7 linked regions of the Cricetulus griseus genome follow. The protein of the gene in region 1 interacts with the protein of each later gene in a biochemical or structural test. Links are inferred from orthologs where the notes say so. Each region holds a gene or a part of one and is shown in the gene's direction. Other genes may lie near its edges. The genes, in order: Cdk1, Prc1, histone H1.0, Cdca5, Rpa1, Ezh2 and Usp16.

Region 1 (3,500 bases):
TGCTTTTGCCTGGGTTTATCACAGGAACAGTGGTTCACTTGTAACTCTTGTTCAAGAGAATTTAAATTATCCCTGATTCTTTGCTGATAACCATAGGGCCTCACAAACTTCTGAGCTCATCTCACTTCTGGTCCTGAACACACCAGATGTGTGTGTTTCAGAAACACTACTGATAGCTTGTATGTGTGTTTGGGGGTGTCAGTTAGGGAGGTAGAATTAAAGTAATTCACATTACATTTTAGTCTTATTCAATTAATTCTAAATACTAGATTCTATTATGTAAGCTGGATGCAGTAATTGACAAGCTAAGATGAATGATTTTCTATGGGGTTACTACAGGCAAGAATGACTTAAACATAGTGGCTTTTATGTGTTGTTCAATTCCTTTCTGTAGTATTTTGAACAATGCTTAGGCCCATGTGGCATAAATGAGGAATGAAAATAACCCTTTCCTATTTCTTCTTTTTTTTCTCTTCCTGCAACAGAATTTCCATATTTCTACCTAGGAGTCAAGACGTCATTCTTAGCTCTCAAGGAGCAAACGGTGGAGCTTGTTTCTATGTGGGTTCTGTTGAGGACTTTTCATTTTCATCTGTGTTCAGAGGCCCCACTTACACAGGGGATTAAAACCAAGGCAGGGAATTTAGTAAGCCACGAATGGCCCAGGTAGTGTTCAAGTGGGAGTCTGGGGTTTTCTGTATCAATGGGATCATCACCTCCACAGCTGTCTTCTTACATGGTAATCTCCCCCTCACCAGCCTCACCTGCTGCCACCCACCTCTCCAGTTGCATTTCTTTAATCCTTCAGATAGGGCTTTCTAAAACCATCCAGTGCTGGCTTCTCTTTTCAGCTTGTTCTGTCTAGATCGGTGGCTCTCAGCCTTCCTAATGTTGGGACCCTTTAGTACAGTTCCTCATGTTGTGGTGACCCCCCCTCCCCAGCATAAATTTTTTTTTGTTGCTACTTGTAATTTTGCTACTGTTATGAACTGTGATATAAAAATACTTGTTTTCTGATAGTCTTAGGTGACCCCTATGAAAGGGCTATTCAACTCCCAAAGAGTCTGGACCCCACATATCAAGAACTGCTGTTCAAGTTGAAGGGATTTGACCATTTCCTTTGCATCAGTCTTTGTATTCCTTTTAGTTGCTCCAGGTTTAGGCTCCACGAAGGCTAGGGTCCAGATGTCTCTCACAGGAGCTGCTCAGGTACTTGATGGAGCACTTTCACCTGCTTTCCTGAACTCTTCTCTGGCCTAGAGGCTTGTCTGCTCCACTGTGCCTGCTGTCTTGGGTTCTGTGTATTCTGTGCTGAAAAACTGACTTGTTGAAATAATTTGACATCTCTCCAGCCTTGTTTGATACCCCACCAAATTATTTAATGATTTAAAGTACTTTATCTAAAACATGAATTTCTGAGTATCCACTGTTTATTTCATGAATAGTGTTCAGTGATTAACAAGTAAAGGGGTTGTGCTTTGTTTAGCCCTATTCAGACGTTCATTGAGAAGAGCCAGGAGTTGAGACACTCAGAATGGTTCTGTGTTGTCTAAGTCAATGTTTACTGAGTATTGGCTGCTAATCATCATGAGTTAGTTCTGCACTTTACCAAGGAATGAAGTAGTCCACTGGGAGGAAACAGAAAACGCTGTAGGAATTCAGAATTAATCATTTTTTATTGGATTGTTATATACCTTGCTAATTCAGACTGTTCAGACAGTGTCCTCTTGCTAATGGCTTAGCTGCTGTGTGCTTCATACAAGGCAGATATACACCCTTAAGGAACCTGTGAGTGTACGGATTTCCTATGTCTTCACAGACAGAATGTAGGCCTTTTTACCTGGGATATTTTCATTATTCAAAGTCACCTAGCATTTGGTCAAAATAGTAAGGATTTTATTTGAAATAATATCATTAAAATGACTGGATTGTTTAGGAAAACAAGCTCCTCTAATTTTAAAAAAATGCTAGAACAAAGCTTATGTGGATGTCAACTTGCTGCTGAGCAAACTGCTTAATATTCTAAACAGTTGATCACTGGGACAGATTGTTAGAGCCAATAAAAGCTATTGCTGCTCTAATCCTTTGGGTTTTTTAGACAGCATCTAACCTTGCCTCAGCTTCCCAGGTGACAGGATTACAGACATGCACACCATGCTGGGATCTTTTGTCTTTTGGGACAGGTCTCACCAAATTGTCCAGGCTTGCCTCTGACCTGGAATTTTCCTGCCTTAGCCTTTCAAATAGCTATGATCACAGCTATGTGTCACCAGACCTGGTGTTCTTGTCATTTCTGAAGTCATACTGATGCCACGAAAAGCTGTTTAACAAAGTTTATATATAGCTAGGGAGTTTAGTACCTCTCTAAACTGGACCCTGAGTTTAAAAGACGCCTGTAACATCTGGGGAAGTGTATGCAGCACAGGTGACTAGTCCATCTTGCTGTGCCTGCCACCCCCACTGTGTCTTTTCTTACTGCCATTGCTGTTCATGTGATACTCATGTTAGTGTTTTCATCATTCCCAACGGGAGGGAGGCTTCCTCCTGTAGCAATAGCAGCTTTATTGGGTTTAGTAAAAATGTGTGGTGTGGTATTTGTCTCTACTCTGCTGGCTGAGGACTGTTGACTACATTTTGAGATGTGTTAAAGTGTGGAAAGCATAAGTCATCCTGAATGTGTTCCAGTGCCTCCTCTTGGTACTGTTTTCCCAGCTTCAGTTTACGTAGTGTTTTAATTGCATGCAGGATATTTGACAGGTGAATTTCAACTTGTATGCTGCCTCATGAAGGAAGCTTAACTGTGGGAGACTTGGGTGACTTCATGAATTTTAGTCCTAAACCATGTGTATGTTAGGTTGTAGTTACCTTCAATTTCTTTTTGGAAGTAGCGAGAGTTTAAGTGTATGTGAGTTTACCTCCTGTCTGGCCACAGCAGGCACATCTATCATGTGACACCTTAAGGATTCACTTAAAAAAAATCTCTTTGCTTCATTTCAGGTACTTATGGTGTGGTGTATAAGGGTAGACATAGGACTACTGGCCAGATAGTGGCCATGAAGAAAATCAGACTTGAAAGTGAGGAAGAAGGAGTGCCCAGTACCGCCATCCGGGAAATTTCCCTATTAAAAGAACTTCGCCATCCAAATATAGTCAGGTGGGCTATGTCTGAATTGAAACAATTCTCCCCATTGTGGATTTTTTTTTTTTTTTTTTTTTTTTTGAGACAGGGTTTCTCTGTAGCTTTGGAGGCTGTCCTGGAACTAGCTCTTGTAGACCAGACTAGTCTGAACTCACAGAGATCCGAGTGTCTCTGCCTCCCGAGTTCTGGGATTAAAGGCGTGCACCACCACCACCCGGCTTAATGTGGATATTTTTATGTTTGTTTAGTTTCTGGGTGCAGTGGGATAGAGTCACATTTATTTTTGTTGATTGTAATGCTAGGAGGAGATAAAAGAGAATAGCCTGTTCAAAGAATTCCAGACATGGTGCTGAGAATTAAT
Region 2 (3,500 bases), on another chromosome or scaffold:
ATGTAAAAGTGTGATAGCACACAGTTAAACTATAATCCTAGCACTCTGGAAGCTAAGTAAAAGCCATCCTGTGCCACATAGAGAAGATATGAATATAAATATATATGGATCTTAAAAAAGTGCTTTCTCTCCTGATAGGCCCAGGCATTTTCCTTTGAGAGAATAGAAGGCTAGTTTTCACGATTTTGGTCTAACCACTGCCTTTCCTTGCTACAGCTGGAAATTAAAAAATCAAAAAATGAAGCAGAGTGCGAAGGGCTCCGTGCTCAGATCCGAGAGCTCTGGGATAGGTTACAAATACCTGAAGAAGAGAGAGAACCTGTGGCTGCAATTATGACTGGGTCAAAAGCCAAAGTCAGGAATGCGGTAAGAAAACCAACGGGCGCTGGGTAAATACTGCTCTTCTTGCAAGTCCAATGTCCTTACTGCCTACTGTCTTGGGCCAGCAAAGACAAGTTGTATTTTGGTGCATTTTGTGGGTACATTCCTTAGATTTCTGGCTTTTATAATGTTAGAAGGTGTGTTGTTGATTTACTTGCATAGCTCTGTGTTGTAATTTTATTTAAATGTGGAAAGGTAAGCAAGTGAATATGAAAGTATGGCTATAACCTTTGTCCTTTTTTTCTATAGCTGCAATTAGAAGTGGATCGCTTAGAAGAACTGAAAATGCAAAACATAAAGCAAGTGATTGAGACAATTCGAGTGGAGCTGGCTCAGTTCTGGGACCAGTGTTTTTATAGCAAAGAACAGAGACAGGCTTTTGCCCCTTACTATTCTGGTTAGTATGATCTTCATGTGGCCACCTTCACAGGTCTTTCATAAGCTCAGACACTCACCAGGAAGTTCTGTATTTCTACTTCTGAGCAGATAGAGCCAAGCCTTAAAAATATTCCCTCGCTTAATTTTCATGGCATACGAAAAGGGCACTAATCTGGATGGTGGTGCCTTTAATGTCAGCACTGGGGAGGCAGGCAGATCTCTGAGTTCAAGGCCAGTCTAGTCTACGAATGAGTTCCAGGACAGACTTCAAAGCTACAGAGAAACCCTGCCTCAAAAAAAAAAAAAAACAAAAGAAAAGAAAAGGGGGGAGGCACTAAAACAAAGTTTTGAGCAACTAAACCAGAGGTATAGCAGATAAATGCTTGGGTCAAGGGAGTCAAGAAGAAGAGTTCCAGACTGTCTTAAACTGAACAGAGAAGTGAAATGTCCTAACAAAAAAATATATGTTTAGATATTTTATGTAGCCCAATCTATCAGCTGTGCAAAGCATAAAGGAAGAGTGAAAAAAAGAAGAAAGAGACAACACATTTTGGAGAATGTTCATCAATTTAGACTATTTTAATCCATCCCAACTACTGTGGCTGGCTTTTATTCCTCTCACCCTTTCTCTTTTCTTTTTTAAGGTTTATTTTTACTTTATTCCTATGTCATTTTAAATTATAAGGTAGAAAACTTTTCACAGTGTAAGGTTAGTTACTTGGAATACCAAACATAAGAACAGTTGTTCTCAACCTTCCTAATGCTGTGACCCCCAACCATAAAATTATTTTGTTGCTACTTCATAACTGTAATTTTGCCATTATGTACCCTAATATAAATATCTGATATGCAGGATATCTTATATGTGACCACAAGAGGTCTAGACCCACAGGTTGAGAATCACTATACTAAAGGAATTTGTGTAAAAAAGACAACAAAACCTAAAACCAAAAAACCCACTACTGAATTTTGATGTTACAGAGGACTACACAGAAAACCTGCTTCATCTTCATGACGCTGAGATTATACGGTTAAGAAACTATTATGAAGTTCATAAAGAACTATTTGAAGGTGTCCAGAAGTGGGAAGAGAGCTGGAAACTCTTCCTGGAGTTTGAGGTAACCTCCTCTGTATTTCTCTAGAGTGAAATCAAGCATCATGACAGCACACCAGGTGTGGTCGCCCAGGCCTGTAGTCCTGGCACTTGGCAAGGATTGTCATAGGCTCTTCTCTAGACTGAGCTTCAAAGTGAAGGGAAAAAGCGTTACAAATAGAGAAGTTAGACTCGGTGGAAAAAACTGAGGCGTACATACAGCTAGTTCCTGTGGTAGTCCTTACCAACTCTCTGCTTGCAAGCAGAGAGAAGTCATGGGCAGAAACGTAAATGTAGACTCCCTGGTTAACACATTCACATTTAAGATGGAATAAATGAGGTCAGTGCTCCCTGCAGTTCTTTATAGGCTGTCCCAATCAGGCACTATGTCAAGAATACTACTGATTGCCTGCCCCTAGTTTTGAGTAGCACACCTAATTTATAATACGTACTCATTACTATGTATATGTTAGAAAATAACAAAAATGAAAAGTTAATTTTTTATTTTTTATTTTTTTATGGTGTTGAGGATTGAACCAGGGTCTCAGACATGCTTGATCATTCAGCTTACATCCCCAGCCCAACATTTTGCATTTTCTGGCAATGCTGGGAAGTTAACACAGGCCTTCCCTTGTGCTCGTTGTAAGTATAGAAGTTAGTGGGCTAGTAAAGGCACCACACTAATTCATGAGTGCAGGCCTCCTTGCATCCCCTCCACATATTCTATATTCAATTCCATTGTAATTAAAAAATAAAAAATAAAGTCTCACCCGGATGTGGTGGTATATGCCTTCACTTCCAGCACTTGGGAGGCAGAGGCAGGCCTGGTCTACAAAGTGAGTTCCAGGACAGCCAGGACTGTTACAGTGAAAACAAAACCAAAAACAAAACAAGGTCTCACTCTGTAGCTCCAGATGGTTTGTCTGCCCCCAAATGCTGGAAATAAAGGCTTATGACATCCTGCTCAACTTATAACTGTCTTCCCCCAGGTCTTCCCCCTCCCCTAAAGATCTATTGACAATGGTTTTTGAGGGGGAGCGACTTTTCTCTTAAGTAGTGTGGCTATTGGTAAGTTGCCATGCTCCTATATAAATAACCCTTTACCTATGATCCTGTAAGCAACCCTAATTGAAAGCTCTTTGAGTCAACCCCCTCAAAAAAAAAAAAATGTAGATGGGATAGTTGGCAAGAGGAAGGGAATCCGCAGCCGTGGGAAGGTGGTAAGAGAGTAGCAGGTTGAATATGAACAAAATTCACGTACATGCATGAAAACATGAACCTCAGGCAGGGAGTAGTGGTAGCACACACCTTTAATCCCAGCTCTTGGGAGGCAGAGGTAGGTGGATTTCTTGAGTTTGAGGCCAGCCTGGTCTATTGAGTGAATTCCAGTACAGACAACTAGGGCTAGGGTTACACAGAGAAACCCTGTTTCAAAAAGAAAAAGAAAGAAAATCACTATTATGTGTACTTAAGTTTTTTTGTTTGTTTGTTTTTTTAGAAGAAAATGTTAGTTTTCCTGATTCCCCAGTAGATGGCCTTATATATATGGCAGGGAGTGCCCATTGCCTAGAAAATTACCGTTTTTACTGTTGAGTGAATAGAAATTCACAACTCATAAAATCACTTTAATATATGCATCTGATTAGGA
Region 3 (3,900 bases), on another chromosome or scaffold:
AATCCTGGCATTTTGAGGAGGTAGACTGCAGACAAGACGTCCCAGGCTCTCTGGGAATCTCTTCGACTACGACTCCCAACAACCCCAGGTCGTACTGCAGACTGTGGCGCCCCTTGCTAACTTCATTGATCTGTGCCAAGCAGGGCTGTTAAGATAGATGCATTTTATAACAAAGGCATGGCATCTTCCCAGCAAAATGGCGGTGGTCCCGACCACGGCTCCCTGATCGACTGCATACCTAAGTCACCACCAGAGAAAGGAGGACTCTCTCCTCGCCCCGTTTTTCCAAATCTCCAAAGCACACAGAGCCTCTGCTCATCCCAGGGCCCCTGAGGACAGTCTCTGGTCAGCGCCTATGGGACAGCGCCAATGATGTGTACCGCACCCCATCTGGCACACCCTAAATTTCAAGAGGCCAGTGGGAGAGGCGGCTCCACCCCCCCGGGTGGACCTCGTGGTCCTGCTTCGCACCCCCAAAACTCCCAAGCTAAGAAGGCATGTAAATGAACTCTTAGGTTCGGATATATGCAAGATGTGGGGGTGTCCTTGAAGAAAGTAGGGCACCCAGGAAGCCAGTCCCCGTCTCCCAGGGGTCCCAGGAAGCTTTGGGGGCTCGGGTTCAGGCAGGAATCTCCATGCAGCGATCTGGGGGCGCGTCGAGGGGAGAGGCGACTCAAGAGGGGGAAGGGACAAAGTTTGAAAGAGCCCTTCCAACTCTTCCAGGGAAAGTTTCCTTGAAGGCCCCGGGGACAGAGAGGGGTTAGGGGTGCCGGGGGGCCTGTGGCCGGGTGACCCCCAAGAGGTGACCGGACCCCGGGGAGACGACCCCTCCCCCCTTGTCCCGACTCGGCCCGGCTGGGAGTCGCCCAGCTCGGGGCGGCGTGTGTTAGTTGGGGCCGCTTCTGCGCCGTTCCGCCAGGTTGGGGGACCCCGCAGCGGGTCGGGAGTGGGAGCCCTGGTAGTCCCAGGGGTGAGCTTTCCTACGGGGGGTCTCAAGTCCGGGGGCTCCCGGGCCCCGCAGAGCCAGCCCCCCGCAAAGGCGAAATGTGCCGGCGCCTGAGCGCTCCTCGGCGCAGTTTGGGGCCCGTGGCGGGCGCGGGGGACAGCGGCTGGGGCGCCTGGGTCCCCAGCGGGGAAGCCTAGGGAGCCAGGCAGGGACTCCGAGAGACAGCGGGCAGCAGGAGGGCCTGGAGCGCCGGCAAAGGTCGGGTTTGCTCGGCGGAAGAAACACAGATGGCGGCGGCGCGGCGCCATTCCGGGCCGGGAGCAGGCAGCCAGCAGCCCAGTCCTCACCGCGGTCCGCCCGCCGCCGCTAAATACCCGGATGCGCCGCCCGAGCGCCAGACGCAGAGCTGGGAAAAGGGAGGCCGAGGAGGCGGAGGCAGAGCCAGGCGCCGGACGAGCGACCGAGCGGTGGGGGCTGGGCCGCGCAGAGCAGCCCGCGATCCCGCCTGCGACCCGCGCCGGGGAGGACAGGAGCCACGCGTCGCCCGCGGCCCCGGCAGCCGCACTTTCGTCTGGCCTGCTAGTCGAGCGGGAGAGCAGATCCCGATTCGGGTCGTGCCCAACCTCCCGCGAGGACTGGCCCTTCGGAAGGCTCTCTCAGCAGCAGGAGCAGGCCGGCCACCATGACCGAGAACTCCACGTCCACCCCTGCGGCGAAGCCCAAACGGGCCAAGGCCTCCAAGAAGTCCACCGACCACCCCAAGTATTCAGATATGATCGTGGCTGCCATCCAGGCAGAGAAGAACCGCGCCGGCTCCTCGCGCCAGTCCATCCAAAAGTATATCAAGAGCCACTACAAGGTGGGTGAGAACGCTGACTCCCAGATCAAGTTGTCCATCAAGCGCCTGGTGACCACCGGTGTTCTCAAGCAAACCAAAGGGGTAGGTGCCTCGGGGTCTTTCAGGCTGGCCAAGGGTGATGAGCCCAAGAGGTCGGTGGCTTTCAAGAAGACCAAGAAGGAAGTCAAGAAAGTGGCCACTCCGAAGAAGGCAGCCAAGCCCAAGAAGGCTGCCGCCAAAGCCCCAAGCAAGAAACCCAAAGCCACCCCTGTCAAGAAGGCCAAGAAGAAGCCGGCTGCCACGCCCAAGAAAGCCAAAAAGCCCAAGATTGTCAAAGCCAAGCCGGTCAAGACAACCAAACCCAAGAAGGCCAAACCTGTGAAGCCCAAAGCCAAGTCCAGTGCCAAGAGGGCCAGCAAGAAGAAGTGACAATGAAGGCTTTGCTTGTGACACTCCTTCCTCCCTCCTGTTTTCTGTAAATACATTTCTCTCTTGATCTCATCTGCAACCCTTTGCCCATTTTATTCTGACTTTACAGAAAGGACAGAGTTTGGATTCCTCAGACAGACATTGTGGAGCGATTCCCTTTTCCTTAACCCATTGTGCAAGGAAAGCCTCAGACCTCATCTTTGTAATGATGAAGATGTACTTTTTTTCTTAATTTGATATTTAACCTTATGGGGTTAGGGTTGGGGTGGGTTTTTGTTGGGAGGTTTGTTTACTGTGAAGGCAAATGGAACTGGTAAAGTTCTGGCTAGATGAGGGGACCTAGGAAATGAAGTTTGTCCTTTTTAAGGCTGTAAGTTGCTCATCCATCCCTTCTGAGAGCTTCAAAACCTTTGGTGCAAAGCAGAGGATGACACTCCACCTAGCTGGCCAGGGAGGGGAAAATCGCTCGGCTGCCCTCAGCGGTGGTGAGCAGTTGGGGACCTGGGGTTTCTTTTCACATATGCCCTAGTGCCTCCCCATTGTCTAAAAGGGGAAAGGGGTCCAAGTGACAGCTGGTTAGAGAAACCATTGCTTCTCACAATCAGGATCTAGCCATTGGGGAAGGGGGGGGGTCTTTTCAGCAGTCTCTTGTTAAATGGGAGTGGACTTAGGGGAGGGTGGGGAGTCAGCCAAGTGCCTCAGTGTGCCTGTGGAAACTTGGGTTTTTTCCACACGATTGTTGAGAGCTGTGTCCTAGGAGAACTTTCTTCTTTTCTTTTTCCTTCCTGTATAAGATGTGGCTTTGCTTGGTGCTGCTTCAGTTTTACCAGCTGCCACGTAAAACCCCTCCAACTGCTTTTACTTTTAAATCTTTTCTAAGTAGCCTAGGAGGGGGAGAGGCGGGGAGTGGACTGTAAGACAATACAGTTGATTTTAGTTTGCTAGGTAGCTTTAGAGAGCCAGGATTGTGTGCATGTGTGTATATGTATATATCCATATCTAAGACTAGTACTTAGTCTCACTTCGGGAGCTGGGAGAAAAAAACCTGTACAGTTGTCTTTCTCTTATTTTAATAAAATAGGAAACTCGCGTCCCTTCCCCCTTTTTAAACAAGTGTTATAATTGCTGGGAAAAGTTGCTGTGGTTGTAATTTTAAACTTTTAAAATAATAAAACTGGTAAAATATCTGAGTGGTGCGTTTCCCTCAACTGAAGGAGAGTAGATGGGTTACGTGGGGCAGAGCTGGCGCCACGTTAGCGCCGGGAAAAAGCGAAGCTTTGGGGAGAGGCTGGAAGGGCAGGAGGCGGGTCGGCTAAGTACGGTGGTGGGTCCTCGGGAGAGGTGGGTGTGTGGGGAGGGGATGCCCTGAAGCCACTTCCCGGCGCGGACCTCCTGGGTTTTGACTTACAAATGAATCCACTTTCGTTGCCTGTAAGCCGCGTCAGGCTCCGCCTGCCGACGGGACCTCCTCACCAGCCTCTTAAAGAAAGCTCCTATTGCTCTGATTGGTTGTCGGGGCCCTGCCCACGCCACATGACAGGGAGAGCTAGGCAGCTGGCTGGCAGGCGCATTCATTCCTTCCCGTGGGCGAGATGTGGGTCAGCAGCGTGTGGCGCGCGACGCTGTCACCCGGCCGCCGCGCGCACTCAGCGTTGGCGCAGCTGCGCGGCATCGTGGAGGGCGAGCT
Region 4 (3,025 bases), on another chromosome or scaffold:
TCAGTGCTCTCTTAGCTATCTCTCCAGTCCCAAAAGAACCTTTTTTTTTTTGGTTTTTTGAGACGGTTTCTCTGTGTCTTTGGAGGCTGTCCTGGAACTAGCTCTTGTGGACCAGGCTGGTCTTGAACTCACAGAGATCTGCCTGCCTCTGCCTCCCGAGTACTGGGATCATAGGCGTTGGCCACCACCGCCCAGCTTGTTCTGCTTTTTAACCCACCCCCACCCAAGTTTTCCTCATGTTTTCAGTGCCACAGTGAAAGTGCTGAGGTGCCAGTGTTTTGTTTTGTTTTAAGTTTTCCCTGATATATTCCCGGTGCCCAGAACATTCCCTGGTGTGGGACAGGTCACTAATAGATATTTATTGGTCAAATGAACATCTTATAAAAATCTTTAGAAGCTATATGGCAGATGACCCTGGAAGCAGGCAAAACAATTAGGAGGCTGTCAAGCCAGTTTAGGTATGCTGGAACTTTATGTCAAGTAGCAAATTGTTGCTATATGCCAGGTACATTTGAGGGTGGCAGCAAATGTAGTGAATCTTGTCCTAAGTCAGCTTCTCCAAAACAGTAGTGATTATCTCTTTTTTTCTTTCCAACAGTGGAGGTAGAACCCAGGGCTTATGCATTTCTGGGCATGTGCTCTATGACTGTTTGTTGCTTAAAATCTGTCCTGGACTGGGGATGGAACTCCTCAGCACAGTGTTTGTCTAGCATGCACAAGGTCAACCATAAAATACACAAGAAACGTAGAAATCCTGTGCTTTGTGGGCAGTCTTTCCATCCTGAATCCCCGAGCTGACAAGAGTTCTCTCGCCTGTCCTGATACAGATCTCTTTTATCTTGGAAAAAGAAAACAACCCTCCTCTCAAGGTACCCACAAAGGAGGACCTCTTCAAGACCTGTAGTGTCCCTGGTACCCCCACCAGCACCCCAGTGCTGTATACTCAGAATGTTGAGTCTAACTCTGAGGAAAGAGAACTGGACACCAGAGACTTGGAAATGTCCCAGAAAGTCAGGCGATCATACAGTCGGCTTGAGAGGCTCAATGCTGCCTCAACCTCCACCCCTGGCCGCCGATCCTTCTTTGGCTTTGAGGGACTTGAAGACTTGCCCCAAGTCTCACCTGTCGTGAGTTCAAAGTTAATTGAGATCCCCAAAGTATCTTCGAAGCCCTTGATTCCAGACACAACGCTTCCTGGAATCTCTCCTCCAGTCATGAAAGAGAAGCGAAGGAAGAAGGTGCCGGAGATCCTAGTGAGTAAGGGGCGGGGTCTCTCCCACAGATGCACCGTATTGGTTGGGGGGAGGGGGGCAGGACTCCAGGTTTTGAGGGAAGGCAATTCCTGAGGTGTGGATAAGTAACATTCTCTGGGCAATGTGGCCGCTTCCCCACTCAAATGCCCTCATTTCTTTCTACCAGAAATCGGAGCTGGATGAGTGGGCTAAGGCCATGAATGCTGAGTTTGAAGCTGCTGAACAGTTTGATCTTCTGATTGAATGAGATAAAGTGGGGGTACACCTGGCTAGGCTCTCCCCTCTCCCTGTACATATTGACTTTTGAGTAGAGCAGGACTTGTTACCCAGAAAGGTGTAGCTGGCCCCTTGTTATATTGTGGCTAGTTACCCTGGACTTTCTTCACAGTATTGGGGATGAGAAGCTAATTCTGTTACAATCCTGCACTGTCAGAAACAAGTTCATCGTGGGTTATCTCTCTGGTGTTGCCCTCTGTTGGTGGCTTGGAGTCCTAGAGTCTGATAGGGAGCTCACAGGCTAGAGACAGTTAAACTCTTGAGGAAATCTGAATATGGAGTCTGGGATGTGAAAGAAGGAGGTAGTCATAGTTTTTTTTGTTTGTTTTTTTAACACGAGTGACTGTTAAGTAGGAGCTGTTCATGTCTGTGTTCTGCTGTTGACACATTGGTGAATGAGGTACTGATGTCTAGGGCAAAGTAAGTATACTTCATGGTATGGGCTCCAGATGCCACCAACTTGAGATTTGTGGTCTCTGGTCACCCTTTCCTCACCCACATCTGTTTCTTTCAAAATGAACTGCACAGTCTTGGCTCTGGGATGTGGCTTTTTTCTCAGGAGCCATACAGCTGTAGCACTGATGACAGCTTTTGCTGTGAGCTTGACTATTACACTTTCACACGAGACCATTCCCGGGGGTGGGGGTTGCTGGGAACAAAAGTAGATGTCTCATGGTCTCTGCGGAAGTGCTTCCTGCCTACCATCTCCTCTGGATGATAGTAGAAGATATGGTTTCAAAGGGCATTGGACTTCCAACATATGCAGGTTCATTGGAGAAGAAGCTGCATGGAATGAGAGTTGCAAGCAAGCACCTGTACACCAGGATGGTTTTGAGCGGAGCACATCTGAAGAATTTGTCCTCACTGGTCCCTGTGGACCGTGAGCTGGACCTTCTGATTGCTGCCATCACTACAGACCCGTCTGTCTTTGAGGAACTAATGTACAGCCCAGGGGAAAGGTTTGATGTCAAATAAACTTTTAAAGAGTTTTGTTTATAGACTGCTTTTTATTTGGTCAAAGACAGAGCCACTGGTGTGAAGCCCTGGATGCCATGTCATTGGACTGTGTCACCAGGGCTGTTCCTCTTAAAATTTGCCAACCTGGCCTCCCTCCAATGACTGATGCCTTGTGCCTCCAAACTAGGGTTTCCTGAAATGAAGGCCCAAGCCCCCCTGTCCCAGGGGAGGTTTATGGAATTGACTACACTTCATCCCTCTCCCTCTTTTCCTAAGGCTCCATCCATCATAGGAGCCAGTGGCTCAGGTATAATAGCTGTTCCTAGATGCCACCCAGCAGCTGATGCCTTGTGCCTCCAAACTAGGGTTTCCTAGTTTGGGCACCCCTGAGAAGCAGATCAAAGATGTGATTCCTTGGCCTGTTGTGCAGATGTGAGCGTCCCAGCTCATCCTCTGCTGAAATTTAGGCTTTTAAATTTCCTCCAGAGCCCTTCCTGAACCTAGAATATCATCTCAGCTCAACTGGCCAACAAGACCCA
Region 5 (3,500 bases), on another chromosome or scaffold:
TCTGAATTCAGGGTATTCCTGGATTCTGCAGTTACTTGACCACTGAACATAAACTGAAAACACAGAGTCCTGAAAACTTGTGTGTTGGGTACAGAGGTAAAGCGGATCCACTCAGAACCCTTAACATGACTTAGTCCTCCTAGGTTACTTAGCAGAGACTACTGTTTACATGGTTGTCGTCGTGGGTACTTTGGCATTCTCTTGAACTTTATTCAGTCCAGGAGTTGTTGCTGGTCAAGACTGTGAACTTGCTGTCTGATGTTGTCAGTAAAAGTTTACTGAGAACCATCTGAGCAGTGATGGTTCTCGACTTTAATCCCAGCACTCCACAGTAGAGGCAGGTGGATCTGTGAGTACGAGGTCAGCCTGGTCTCCAGAGCAAGTTCAGGACAGCCAGGGCTACACAGAGAAGCCCTGTCTCAAAAATATATTTTATTGGATCATCCTCCATCTTCACATTGTCTGGGGTTTGTCTTGCCCCACAGCAGCAGGCTGAGGAGCGGCAGTAGAGACTGACTAAATGAGTTCTTGGGACTAAAGTTTTCCTCTGGCTTGTCACAGGAAAAGCTTCCTGATCCCTAAAAATAAGGTTAGAAATCACTGACATTGTAAAAGATTATGTGTTTGGCCAGCAAGGTGACTCAGTGTGTAAGGCTCCCTGACGCCAAGCCTGACAGCCTGAGTCCAGGCTCCAGGATCATGTGGTGAAGGAAGACCAGCAGCTCCCACAAGCTGTCTCTGGCCTGCACACATCCCATGCTGTGTGTATACATAGTGTGTATACATATGCAGAAACACATATACACACATTAGATACATACATTTTACAAATATTATGTGCTGGCAAGATGACTTAGCTGTTAAAGGCACTGGTCCTGCTGTCTTGGAAACTTGAGTTCCTGGAGCCACAGTGGAAGGAGAGGACTGACACCTGAAAGTTGTCCTCTGGCCTCCGCAAACACACCGTGGCGCAGGCTCGCCTGCATTAGTTTGCATGTGATCATCATATATGCAGAGATACACGTATGAAACAATTAATAAATAAAGAAGAATTATGTGTCCAGGTGTGGTGGCTAAGCACTCTAGAGACAGAGGCAGGCAGATCTCTGTGAGTTCAAGGCTAGCTTGTGAGACCCTGCGGGGTGGCGGGTGGGGGGGTGGGCTGAGTGCTGTGGGTTTGCATGTAGAAAACAGAGTGAACAGTTCTCCATATTCGGTCTGTGAGTGTGGGAACTAGGATACACATCACTTACCACTTGCAAGTAAGAGCAGCTTCAAGTAGCCTGTTCCAGGCCCAAGTGTAGCTTGCTGATCCCGGCCTCTGTGATACTTTTCTCCCATAGGCGGACTATTTCAGCACAGTGGCAACGGTGGTGTTCCTTCGCAAAGAGAACTGTATGTACCAGGCCTGCCCCACCCAAGACTGCAATAAGAAAGTGATTGACCAGCAGAATGGGTTATACCGCTGTGAGAAGTGTGACCGGGAATTCCCCAACTTCAAATATCGCATGATCTTGTCGGTGAGTAGAATGGTTATCGAGAAGCTTTATGGTGTTCACTGATTGGCTGACAAGGACAAGACACTGGGGGGTGCAACAGTAGAGCCCAGGTGGTTGGTAGTAAGGAACTCACAGATGCATTGTGTTGGGGAGCTTGCTGCTACTCTGTAAATAAGGAGGTAATGGCTGTGCCCTGGCTGACCTGCAGTGTTCATGCTCCTGAGAACTTGATGCCCTCGCCAATGGGCAACTTTTTTTTCATCTGTGATGCTGTGTGGTCACCGTGCTGGTGGTGCTAGCCTCCTCACTGTTGTGGAGATAAATTAATATGAAATGGCATTTCTGGAAAGCAGTAATTATAACTCTACAGCCAGTGCCTGTGTTAGTTTTCTTGTGGATACTCTGGTTTTTTTTGGGGGGGGGGGGCAGTTGACCTTAGATGAGTTGACTTGAGAGGAGTGTGCCAGAGTATGGTAACTCTTTTAAACTCTGCTTTGGTTTGATTTGATTTGACAGTAAGGAATATGTCCAAAACCTTAAAAATGTTCCTATTGAAGCCAGGTGTTGGTGACGCACACCTTTAATCCCAGCACTCGGGAGGCAGAGGCAGGTGGATCTCTGTGAGTTCGAGACCAGCCTGGTCTCCAGAGTGAGTGCCAGGATAGGCTGCAAAGCTACACAGAGAAACCCTGTCTCGAAAAACCAAAAAAAAAAAAAAAAAAAAAAAAAAAAAAAGTATTCCTATTTCCTAATGCAGAAGCCACCTACAGGGAATTTATTCTGAAGAACTAATCAGCAGTATTACAGCTGTGTGAAGTTGTTTACTCTGAAAAGTTGGGGTCAGTTTAAATGCCCTTCTGTTTGTTACTTCCTTTAGTGACTAGCCACTTTAGTGAGTAGAAGATTGTAAAGGCCTTGGACTTACAGCTTTTATGCCGAGGTTGTCGCTCAATGGCTGACACATGTCTGTCATCCTTAGCTACTTAGCAAGTTAAAGGCCAGCTGGCTAGCTTGGGCTACATGAGAGACACCCAGTCCCAGAAATGGATGAATGAATGAAACCAAAAATCAGCCAGGCCATGGTGGCGCATGTCTTTAGTCCTAGCACTTGGGAGATAGAGACAGGGGATCTCTGAGTTCAAGGCCAATGTGGTCTACAGAGTGAGTTCAGGTCAACCAGGGCTGCATAGAGAATCTGTCTCAGAAAAACAAACAAATAAAGCAAAAAGAATTTAGGGTTGGGGATGTGGGTGGTTATCAGTGAAGTAGTAATAGTGCCAGGGTGAGGATTGAACTCAGTTCTTGGGGCTCATTGGCCTCTTGGCCTAGCCGGCTCAGCAAACTTTCTTGGCTCTCACCAATGTAATTTAAGCCTTACATCCACTGGGATTTGTTTCTGTTGCTTGGTGGATTTGGTGACTGGTTAAAGGTTTTTTACATTGGCTCTGAAATTACCTGTTGCTCAGTAATGACTTAGAACCATCTCATGCAGTTCTTTAAATTCAAAATGTGGGGCGGAGTGATAGCTTAGCAGTTAAGAGAACCCAGGTTCAATTCCCAGCACCCACACTGCAGTTCACAACTATCTGAAACTCCAGTTCCAGGAAATCTGAGTCCTCACATAGACATGAATGCAGGCACAACCCCAATGTACACATGCAGTGTGTTTTAAGAGTGGTTTAAGCTCCTGCCTCCCAAGTGTAAAGACCTAAGTTCAGATCCCCAACTTCCAAGTAAAGCAACTCAGGCTTAGGCCTGGAGCTCACTGGGCATCAGCCTATCCAGTTGCTGAGCTCTGTTCACTGAGAGACCCTGTCTCAAAAGTTAATGTGGACAGAAACCGTAGAAGACACTTTATGCCAAACTCTGGCCTCCACCTGTATGCACATAATACAACACACACTGTAAATTTTTAAAAAAATGTGTAAATGTGAACTCAGTCCATGGGAGGCTGAGGCAGAGAGATTGTAAGTTGGGCCTGTTTAGACTGCACAGTAAGAT
Region 6 (3,500 bases), about 46 Mb from region 1:
GATGGGAAAGTGCATGGAGACAGAGGTGAGTTATATGTATATTCTCTTGGGGGCTTTGTTAAAGATTCAAGATGCTTGGGTTCTTTTTTTTTTTTTTAAAGGTTTTATTTATTTATTATATATACAACATTCTGCTTCCATGTATATCTGCACAACAGAAGAGGGCACCAGATCTCATAACGGATGGCTGTGAGTCACCATGTGGTTGCTGGGAATTGAACTCAGGACCTCTGGAAGAGCAGTCAGTGCTCTTAACCTCTGAGCCATCTCTCCAGCCCCAATGCTTGGGTTCTTAACATAGGGTTTGTAAAACAAACAAACAAACAAAAAACAAACTTTTTTGTGATAAAATTAATTTTTGTGTTTGACTATAAAGGACTAGCCTGGGCTGACAGGCCTACATTTTTGGTGGTTTTTTTTTTTTTTTTTAGTTTTTCCATTAGCGGATCTTACTTGTTTGCCACTTGGTAACCATCAGTAAATAGTTATGAACTGTAGCAGCAACATGGAAATTTTATAGGAACGGAGTGTGTGTATTTGGTAAGCTTTAAATAATAAAATTAACTAGGCTTAAAGTTCTATTTATGGGATGTGTGCTTCAGAAAGCCTCCCTGCTCAAAAACACCTTTCCTCAGGGCTGCCTTAGCGCCTGAAGTTGAGTCATGAGATTCCTGGATTCAAGTTTCTTGTGTTCAGGAGGTTCTTGGTATCTGAGAGAAGGGGGTGTGGTCATATTATAGTAGGAAACAAGGTTTGAAGTGGCCAGTCAGTGGCACAGATTGGGAGGAGGCTAAAGCCACAGGTCTTAGAAGATTAGGAGAATAAAGGGTCCTGGACCATCTGGAGAGGGGGTGATTCCTGAGAAAACAACAGACACTCAATGATCATTGCTGTTGTCTTTGCTGGCTGTGAAATGATCTTGACTGACTGTGTCTGCCCCTCAGGTTAGTTACAGTGCTGTGCTGATGGGCCCTGGCTGTTCTTCCAGATTAGGAAACACAAACATAAACTTTTGTCATAACACTTTCCCCTGTTTCTGACTGACTTTTAGAATGTGGATTTATAAATGATGAAATTTTTGTGGAGTTGGTAAATGCTCTTGGTCAATATAATGATGATGACGATGATGATGATGGAGATGATCCTGATGAAAGAGAAGAAAAACAGAAAGATCTAGAGGATAGTCAAGATGGTATGTTTAATACTAGGGTTTTTTTTTTTTTTTTGTATGAGCCTACATCATTCTTTAAAAAACGTGTGGAGCCTAGTGAATGGCTCAGTGAGTAAAACCATCAAGCCTGATTGAATTGAGTTTGATCCCTGAGACTTACACTGTGGAGGAAAAGAACTGACAGTCTCCTAAGTTACCCTCTTATCTTCACATTCCTGTACACTGTGGCATATATACAGTCATATATGTAAATGTAAGAAAAAATCCCATTATGAGTAGAATGTAATTTCCCTCTCCTTTTGTTAAATATGTCTTAGTAGTATAATCAAATATATTCTCTGCAGGATTTCATTGTCCACTGTAGCTTCTTTGTTTGCTTTGCCTGGCAGAGGAACATAATCCTTTTTGGGCTTTGCTGATCAATTATTGCAATATCTTTATAGTAATATCACATATTATGTACATTGCATGCTGGGCTTTGCTGATCAATTATTGCAATATCTTTATAATAATATCACATATTATGTACATTGCATGCTGGGCTTTGCTGGTCAATTATTGCAATATCTTTATAACAATATCACATATTATGTACATTGCATGCTTACTTCATACGCACCAGCTCACTTATCCTTCCACAGCTCTGCAATGTCGGTGTTGCTATCAGATCCATTATATATTGGGAATGAGTTTAGAGAGGCTAAAGGCTAAAGAACTTACTGAAGACTGTAATACTGGGAAGAAGTAGAACACTGAGCCCTAAGACGATGACCTAGGTCTGTCTCAGGAGCTGTGCTGTTATTGCATCTGCACTTGTTAAGGATTATTAGAAACCAGTCCATCCTATGGCAGAGCCTATAAATGCTGTCCTCTACTCAGCAAGCCTAGTATTAAGGCAGCTTAGTAGAATTTAGGGGAGAATTGCAATATCAAGAGGCACGTATTCTTTATAACAGAAATACATCTTAGGGGTCAACTGGATGATCGCTAATTCTGTCAAGCTACTGGCAGATCTGAAAGTGTATTAGTATCATTGCTGACACAAAGCTATTAGTTGCAAATAATGAAAATCTGGGGGTTCTGTCTTCCACTGCTCTTAAAACATCTCATATTTGAATTTTATGTTTGTTCTTCAAATATTCCACAGGCTTTACATTAGAAGTAAATGATACAGGGTTTGTTGGCACATGCCTATAATCTCAGCACTTGAGAGTAAAGGCAGGAGAGTCAGAAGTTCAAGGTTGTCCTCAGCTACATAGTGAGTTTTATGCCATCTTGGGCTACACTAGGCAAGCGTCCCCAATAAAATCCCCAAGCTAGTCAGAGCCAGAGACAGTAGAATAGAAAAGTGGACTGTCACTGGATAAGAGTGCTTGCTGAGCACATCTTGATGACTTGAGTTTGATTGCTGGATTTAACTGTAGAAGAGCATTGTACTAACTCACAAAAGTTGTCCTCTGATCTTTACACATGCACGGTGGTGCACACACTAAAAATAATAATAGTCACCAAAGGTTTGACATCAACCTGTACTTAGTTGAATTCCAACTAGAACTACATAGAAAGAGACCTTGTCCCAAAGATTATTCCACCAGCCCCCCAAAAGTGAAGCGAAGTTGACAGTGCCTTAGGAAATCAGTGTTGTTGAGATACTGTGTGATAAAGAGAAAAATGAGATTTAAACTTGTTTCTTTCACACCCCCCCCCCCCATCACAATTCACTGTTTAGATAAAGAAAGTTGCCCTCCTCGGAAATTTCCTGCTGATAAAATTTTTGAAGCCATTTCCTCAATGTTTCCAGATAAGGGAACAGCAGAAGAACTAAAAGAAAAGTAAGTGAGAATTTTTTTTAAAATATGGGGCAGTCTTGCATATAATTCATCATCTTGTTTTTTTCTAAATGGAATTACCGAGTGTGATGAGCCATTCCATAGTTTACAGCTTGTGTGACACTTCAAGCACAATCTCCATTCCTCTCTTCCACACCCCACACCCTATTCTTGTACTATGTGTTATAAAGGGTTATTGCATGTAGAGTAAGTGTACAGATAGATATTCATGCACACAATAAGCCCATGTACAATTTACATTAGTTTATTGTAGGAAAACTTTTCTGGGCACTGGTAGAGATTTTTATATTTAATTCAAACTAATATAATAACCTGTGATATACCTGAATTGTATTAACGAGCTTAGTTCTTTCTGTAAGTAAAGATTTCTATGGGTTAGATCTTTTTTTGTTGTGTTTTTAGGTAAGGTAACATAAAAAAAAAATCAAATCCAAAGGAAGCCTTTTAGAAACTTTAAAAAAATGATTTTTCTTTCTGCT
Region 7 (3,500 bases), on another chromosome or scaffold:
TGGCTGTCTTGGCCATTTGCCTAAGTGCCGCCTGCTGTTATCAGGCTGAGACGAGGGAGGGAGGCTGTAGAAGGTCTCCCTAGACCCTGGGGACGGGGGCAGAGAGGCCAGGGTGGTGGTCTCCCACAAAGCTGGGGACAAGATTAGGGGATCAGAATTGGAGGGTAGGAAGGAGAGTCAAGATTGCCCACCTCATTTCTTGGCCGGTGTGGGAAGCAGGCTTCCAGGGAATGCCTATAGACTGAATTATGCTGTATTTAGTGGTATATTTTGAAAAAGAAAATTTTCAGTCTCTCTATTAAATAAAATGAACACACATGCACACACACTGGTTTTTAGACAGAGGTTGTCTTCTGTTGTTTTGGAGACTCTGGTCTCTTGTACCCTGGCTAGCCTGGAATTTACCTAGGTACACCTGACTCTGCCTCCCAAGTGCTAGGATGAAAGGCGTGTGCCACCATGTCGGGCTAGAGGTAGAGTCCTCTGTAGCCCTTACTGACCTTACATGTAGTCAAGGATGACACTGAGCTTTTGACCCTCCTGTCTTCACCTCTCAAGTTATCACATGGCTTACAGACATGCAACACCACTCTTTGGTTTTTTGAGGTACTAGGAATCAAACCCTAGGCTTCATGTATGCTTGGCAGCGGATACCCTTCTAACTTACATCCCTAGCTCCTTTTGTGGCATTTTCTAACAGTCAGGTTCTTAGATACTTTCTGAGAAGCAAATGAATTGGCATGGTGTGCAGCGTTTGCTTTAAGTTTATTCTTTAGATACTTGTGTTAACAATTATCTTTTTCAAGACAGAGTTATTTATACCAGAATTGATTTTTGGTTAGTAGAATTCATTTGAACATAATACGTTTACATTGTTGTTGTGTGTCCTAATTCTACATAGTCATATACATTCCAGTATGAAGAATATTTATGTACTAAAGGGACAATTTTATACCAAAGCATATGCTTCTTTTACACTTTCAGACTTGCCTTATATCATCAGTTCTGAATGTTTATCACTTCTGTGAGTTTACCAATACTTATTAAATATCAGCCAAATTGATTCCAGTAATTGATAGTAGTTAAAATAAAAAATTCTAGTACAGTATTCTAAATGAGCTTTACATTTGGCATGGACATATTCTATACTTTGCCAAATCTTCTTTTTCTCCTTTTTAAAGCAGAGAAAGATAATGGACATATTGAACTTGAAAATAAAAAATTGGAAAAAGACAGTAAAAATGAACAAGAGAAAGAGAAAACGGAAAACATGGCTAAAGAAAACATTCCCATGGACTCTGCTTCCCAGATGATTGTGAAAGGACTCAGTAACTTGGGAAACACTTGTTTCTTCAATGCCGTTATGCAGGTGACAAAGTTCTCTTCTTCCCTCAGGCTATATCCTCCCTGTGTAAATTCCTGTCTATTCAGAGTAATTGCTTAAAACTCTATTACTGCCAGTGCTTACCAGTGTGTCCTTACATTCCAGCCATAGCAGAAGTGACATGAGCCATGGAGAGGGGGCGAAGAGTGTGTTGTAATGTTTCCTCTCTAGGTAGAGAAGTAATGAAGAGTCACTGTTGGTTGTGGTTTTCAGTTTTGGTAGAATAAACACTTAACTGTTTGAATGACTTGGTTATGTAAGTAACTGCTCATTTTGTTTCCATCCTGCATTGTAGAATTTGTCACAAACACCAGTGCTTAGAGAACTACTAAAAGAAGTGAAAATGTCTGGAACAATTGTGAAAATAGAGCCACCTGATCTGGCACTAACAGTATGTATTTGGTCCAATTTAACTTTATAATTTTTATTTTTGAGACAGGGTCTCACTTTGGAGCTCACAGAGACCAGGCTGGCGTTGAACTCACAGAGAACCCCACCTGCCTCTGCCTCCCAAGTGCTGGGATTAGAGGGGTGCGCCACCACACCCATTTCTTACTCACTTGAAGACAGTCCCCTTGTACCGCAAATCTTGGCAGGCCTCTGTTTTAGCCTTCCCAGTTCTGGGATTGGAGTGTGTGCTGCCATGCTAAGCTAGATTTTCCAATTGACCCAGGAAGACCCCTTGGTGGCAGTTAAAGTCACTGGCTGACAGGCCCTTGAGACTGACATGGTGGGGGATGAGAACTCACTCCCACTTGATGATCTGAGTCCACCCTTAGGCCTGACGTTGTACAAGGTAAGAACTCACTCCCAGGTTTTTTTTTCTGACTTCCACACTTGCCACAGCACAGCATATATACCTACTTCTATACACAAAATAAATGTTAAAAATAAATAAATAAAAATTGTCTTACAATTATCTTTTTTGTAAATATTCATGTTCCAAGTTGTTTTGAGGAATTAAAACTCATCTCTGACTTTTTTCTTTGGTTTTATTTCAGTCTAAGATAAACAGTTAGAACTAATAACTGTTAAAAGAACTTTCTGCTTGCTTGCTATGAACTTGCCATATTTGGTGTGAGTGTGTATGTTTTCTACCACCATCTTAAGAATGTTGATAATTGTGAAGCTCAGGCCTGCACTGTTGTTTTTGACATTTTCAGTGTGACCTAAGTGCTATGTAGTCAGATAAATTTTACTTTCTCTACAGTTACTAGATATATTTTGTCTTTGCTTTCTTAATTCTTAGGTCATAAGTTCCTATCCATTCAAAACTAAGATAAAGCTCAGTTTTCCATTAAAAATAATTATCAGCCGGGCAGTGGTGGCACATGGCAGGCAGATCTCTGTGAGTTCGAGGCCAGCCTGGTATACAAGAGCGAGTGCCAGGATAGGCTCCAAAGCTACACAGAGAAACCCTGTCTCAACCCCCCCCCCAATGTATTATTATCATTTGTATGAGGTGTGTGTGTGTGTGTGTGTGTGTGTGTGTGTGTGTGTGTGTGTGTGTTGTGTATGTGTGAGGTGTCCATGTAAGGTATGTGTGTGTGAGTGTGTGTGTGGTGTGTATGTCTAAGCTGTGCATGTGGAGGTCAGAGGATAACTTCATGGAGTAGATTCTTAACCTTCCACCTTCAACAATTTCTGGGGGTTGAACTCGGGTTGTCAGGCATGCTCAGCAAGTACTTTAATCACTGAGCTCTTTTCCTGGCCCAGAGCTAAATTTTTGAACAGCTAGTTTCTGTATCTCTATATGGTATAAATTTTGGATGTTTACATTTGGCAGCTCCATCAATATCATTCATTGGCTTGTTACATTTTGGTAAGTAAATGACTCTTAACATTTGAGTGACATAATTTTTATTTCTATTTTTAGGAACCTTTAGAAGTAAACCTTGAGCCTCCAGGTCCTCTTACTTTAGCCATGAGCCAGTTTCTTAATGAGATGCAAGAGAACAAAAAGCGAATTGTGACTCCTAAAGAGCTCTTTTCTCAGGTCTGTAAAAAGTGAGTATCCACTTGCTTGTGCTTTCAGTGCATCAGTAAGATGCAGAGAGCATCAGAACCAACAGAATAGACACATATTTCATTCCAATTTAAAGCAACATGTTTCCTG

Evidence for each region.
Region 2: of the proteins of Cdk1 (region 1) and Prc1, one has a biochemical effect on the other in vitro, tested with the Homo sapiens proteins (2 studies listed by BioGRID). The link is inferred for Cricetulus griseus from reciprocal best matches to the Homo sapiens genes CDK1 and PRC1.
Region 3: of the proteins of Cdk1 (region 1) and histone H1.0, one has a biochemical effect on the other in vitro, tested with the Homo sapiens proteins (3 studies listed by BioGRID). The link is inferred for Cricetulus griseus from reciprocal best matches to the Homo sapiens genes CDK1 and H1-0.
Region 4: of the proteins of Cdk1 (region 1) and Cdca5, one has a biochemical effect on the other in vitro, tested with the Homo sapiens proteins (2 studies listed by BioGRID). The link is inferred for Cricetulus griseus from reciprocal best matches to the Homo sapiens genes CDK1 and CDCA5.
Region 5: of the proteins of Cdk1 (region 1) and Rpa1, one has a biochemical effect on the other in vitro, tested with the Homo sapiens proteins (2 studies listed by BioGRID). The link is inferred for Cricetulus griseus from reciprocal best matches to the Homo sapiens genes CDK1 and RPA1.
Region 6: of the proteins of Cdk1 (region 1) and Ezh2, one has a biochemical effect on the other in vitro, tested with the Homo sapiens proteins (5 studies listed by BioGRID). The link is inferred for Cricetulus griseus from reciprocal best matches to the Homo sapiens genes CDK1 and EZH2.
Region 7: of the proteins of Cdk1 (region 1) and Usp16, one has a biochemical effect on the other in vitro, tested with the Homo sapiens proteins (3 studies listed by BioGRID). The link is inferred for Cricetulus griseus from reciprocal best matches to the Homo sapiens genes CDK1 and USP16.

What each region holds. Positions count from the first base shown.
Region 1 is NW_023276806.1:268,279,703-268,283,202, forward strand, and holds part of Cdk1 (cyclin-dependent kinase 1), read left to right. Parts: intron 1-483; exon of another isoform or gene 484-561; intron 562-2,997; coding exon 2,998-3,154; intron 3,155-3,500. UniProt on the Homo sapiens protein: Plays a key role in the control of the eukaryotic cell cycle by modulating the centrosome cycle as well as mitotic onset; promotes G2-M transition via association with multiple interphase cyclins.
Region 2 is NC_048596.1:117,299,059-117,302,558, reverse strand, and holds part of Prc1 (protein regulator of cytokinesis 1), read left to right. Parts: intron 1-216; coding exon 217-366; intron 367-630; coding exon 631-778; intron 779-1,740; coding exon 1,741-1,877; intron 1,878-3,500. UniProt on the Homo sapiens protein: Key regulator of cytokinesis that cross-links antiparrallel microtubules at an average distance of 35 nM. Essential for controlling the spatiotemporal formation of the midzone and successful cytokinesis.
Region 3 is NC_048595.1:376,142,442-376,146,341, forward strand, and holds histone H1.0, read left to right. Parts: upstream 1-1,364; 5' UTR 1,365-1,628; coding exon 1,629-2,213; 3' UTR 2,214-3,400; downstream 3,401-3,900. Other genes in the region: Gcat (2-amino-3-ketobutyrate coenzyme A ligase, mitochondrial), read left to right, coding at 3,806-3,900. UniProt on the Homo sapiens protein: Histones H1 are necessary for the condensation of nucleosome chains into higher-order structures. The histones H1.0 are found in cells that are in terminal stages of differentiation or that have low rates of cell division.
Region 4 is NC_048596.1:53,258,711-53,261,735, reverse strand, and holds the end of Cdca5 (sororin), read left to right. Parts: intron 1-827; coding exon 828-1,253; intron 1,254-1,419; coding exon 1,420-1,500; 3' UTR 1,501-2,295; coding exon of another isoform or gene 2,296-2,325; 3' UTR 2,326-2,525; downstream 2,526-3,025. UniProt on the Homo sapiens protein: Regulator of sister chromatid cohesion in mitosis stabilizing cohesin complex association with chromatin. May antagonize the action of WAPL which stimulates cohesin dissociation from chromatin.
Region 5 is NC_048600.1:88,756,965-88,760,464, reverse strand, and holds part of Rpa1 (replication protein A 70 kDa DNA-binding subunit), read left to right. Parts: intron 1-1,343; coding exon 1,344-1,520; intron 1,521-3,500. UniProt on the Homo sapiens protein: As part of the heterotrimeric replication protein A complex (RPA/RP-A), binds and stabilizes single-stranded DNA intermediates that form during DNA replication or upon DNA stress.
Region 6 is NW_023276806.1:222,396,696-222,400,195, forward strand, and holds part of Ezh2 (histone-lysine N-methyltransferase EZH2), read left to right. Parts: coding exon 1-25; intron 26-1,051; coding exon 1,052-1,192; intron 1,193-2,900; coding exon 2,901-3,003; intron 3,004-3,500. UniProt on the Homo sapiens protein: Polycomb group (PcG) protein. Catalytic subunit of the PRC2/EED-EZH2 complex, which methylates 'Lys-9' (H3K9me) and 'Lys-27' (H3K27me) of histone H3, leading to transcriptional repression of the affected target gene.
Region 7 is NC_048597.1:9,874,356-9,877,855, reverse strand, and holds part of Usp16 (ubiquitin carboxyl-terminal hydrolase 16), read left to right. Parts: intron 1-1,181; coding exon 1,182-1,369; intron 1,370-1,679; coding exon 1,680-1,775; intron 1,776-3,260; coding exon 3,261-3,391; intron 3,392-3,500. UniProt on the Homo sapiens protein: Specifically deubiquitinates 'Lys-120' of histone H2A (H2AK119Ub), a specific tag for epigenetic transcriptional repression, thereby acting as a coactivator.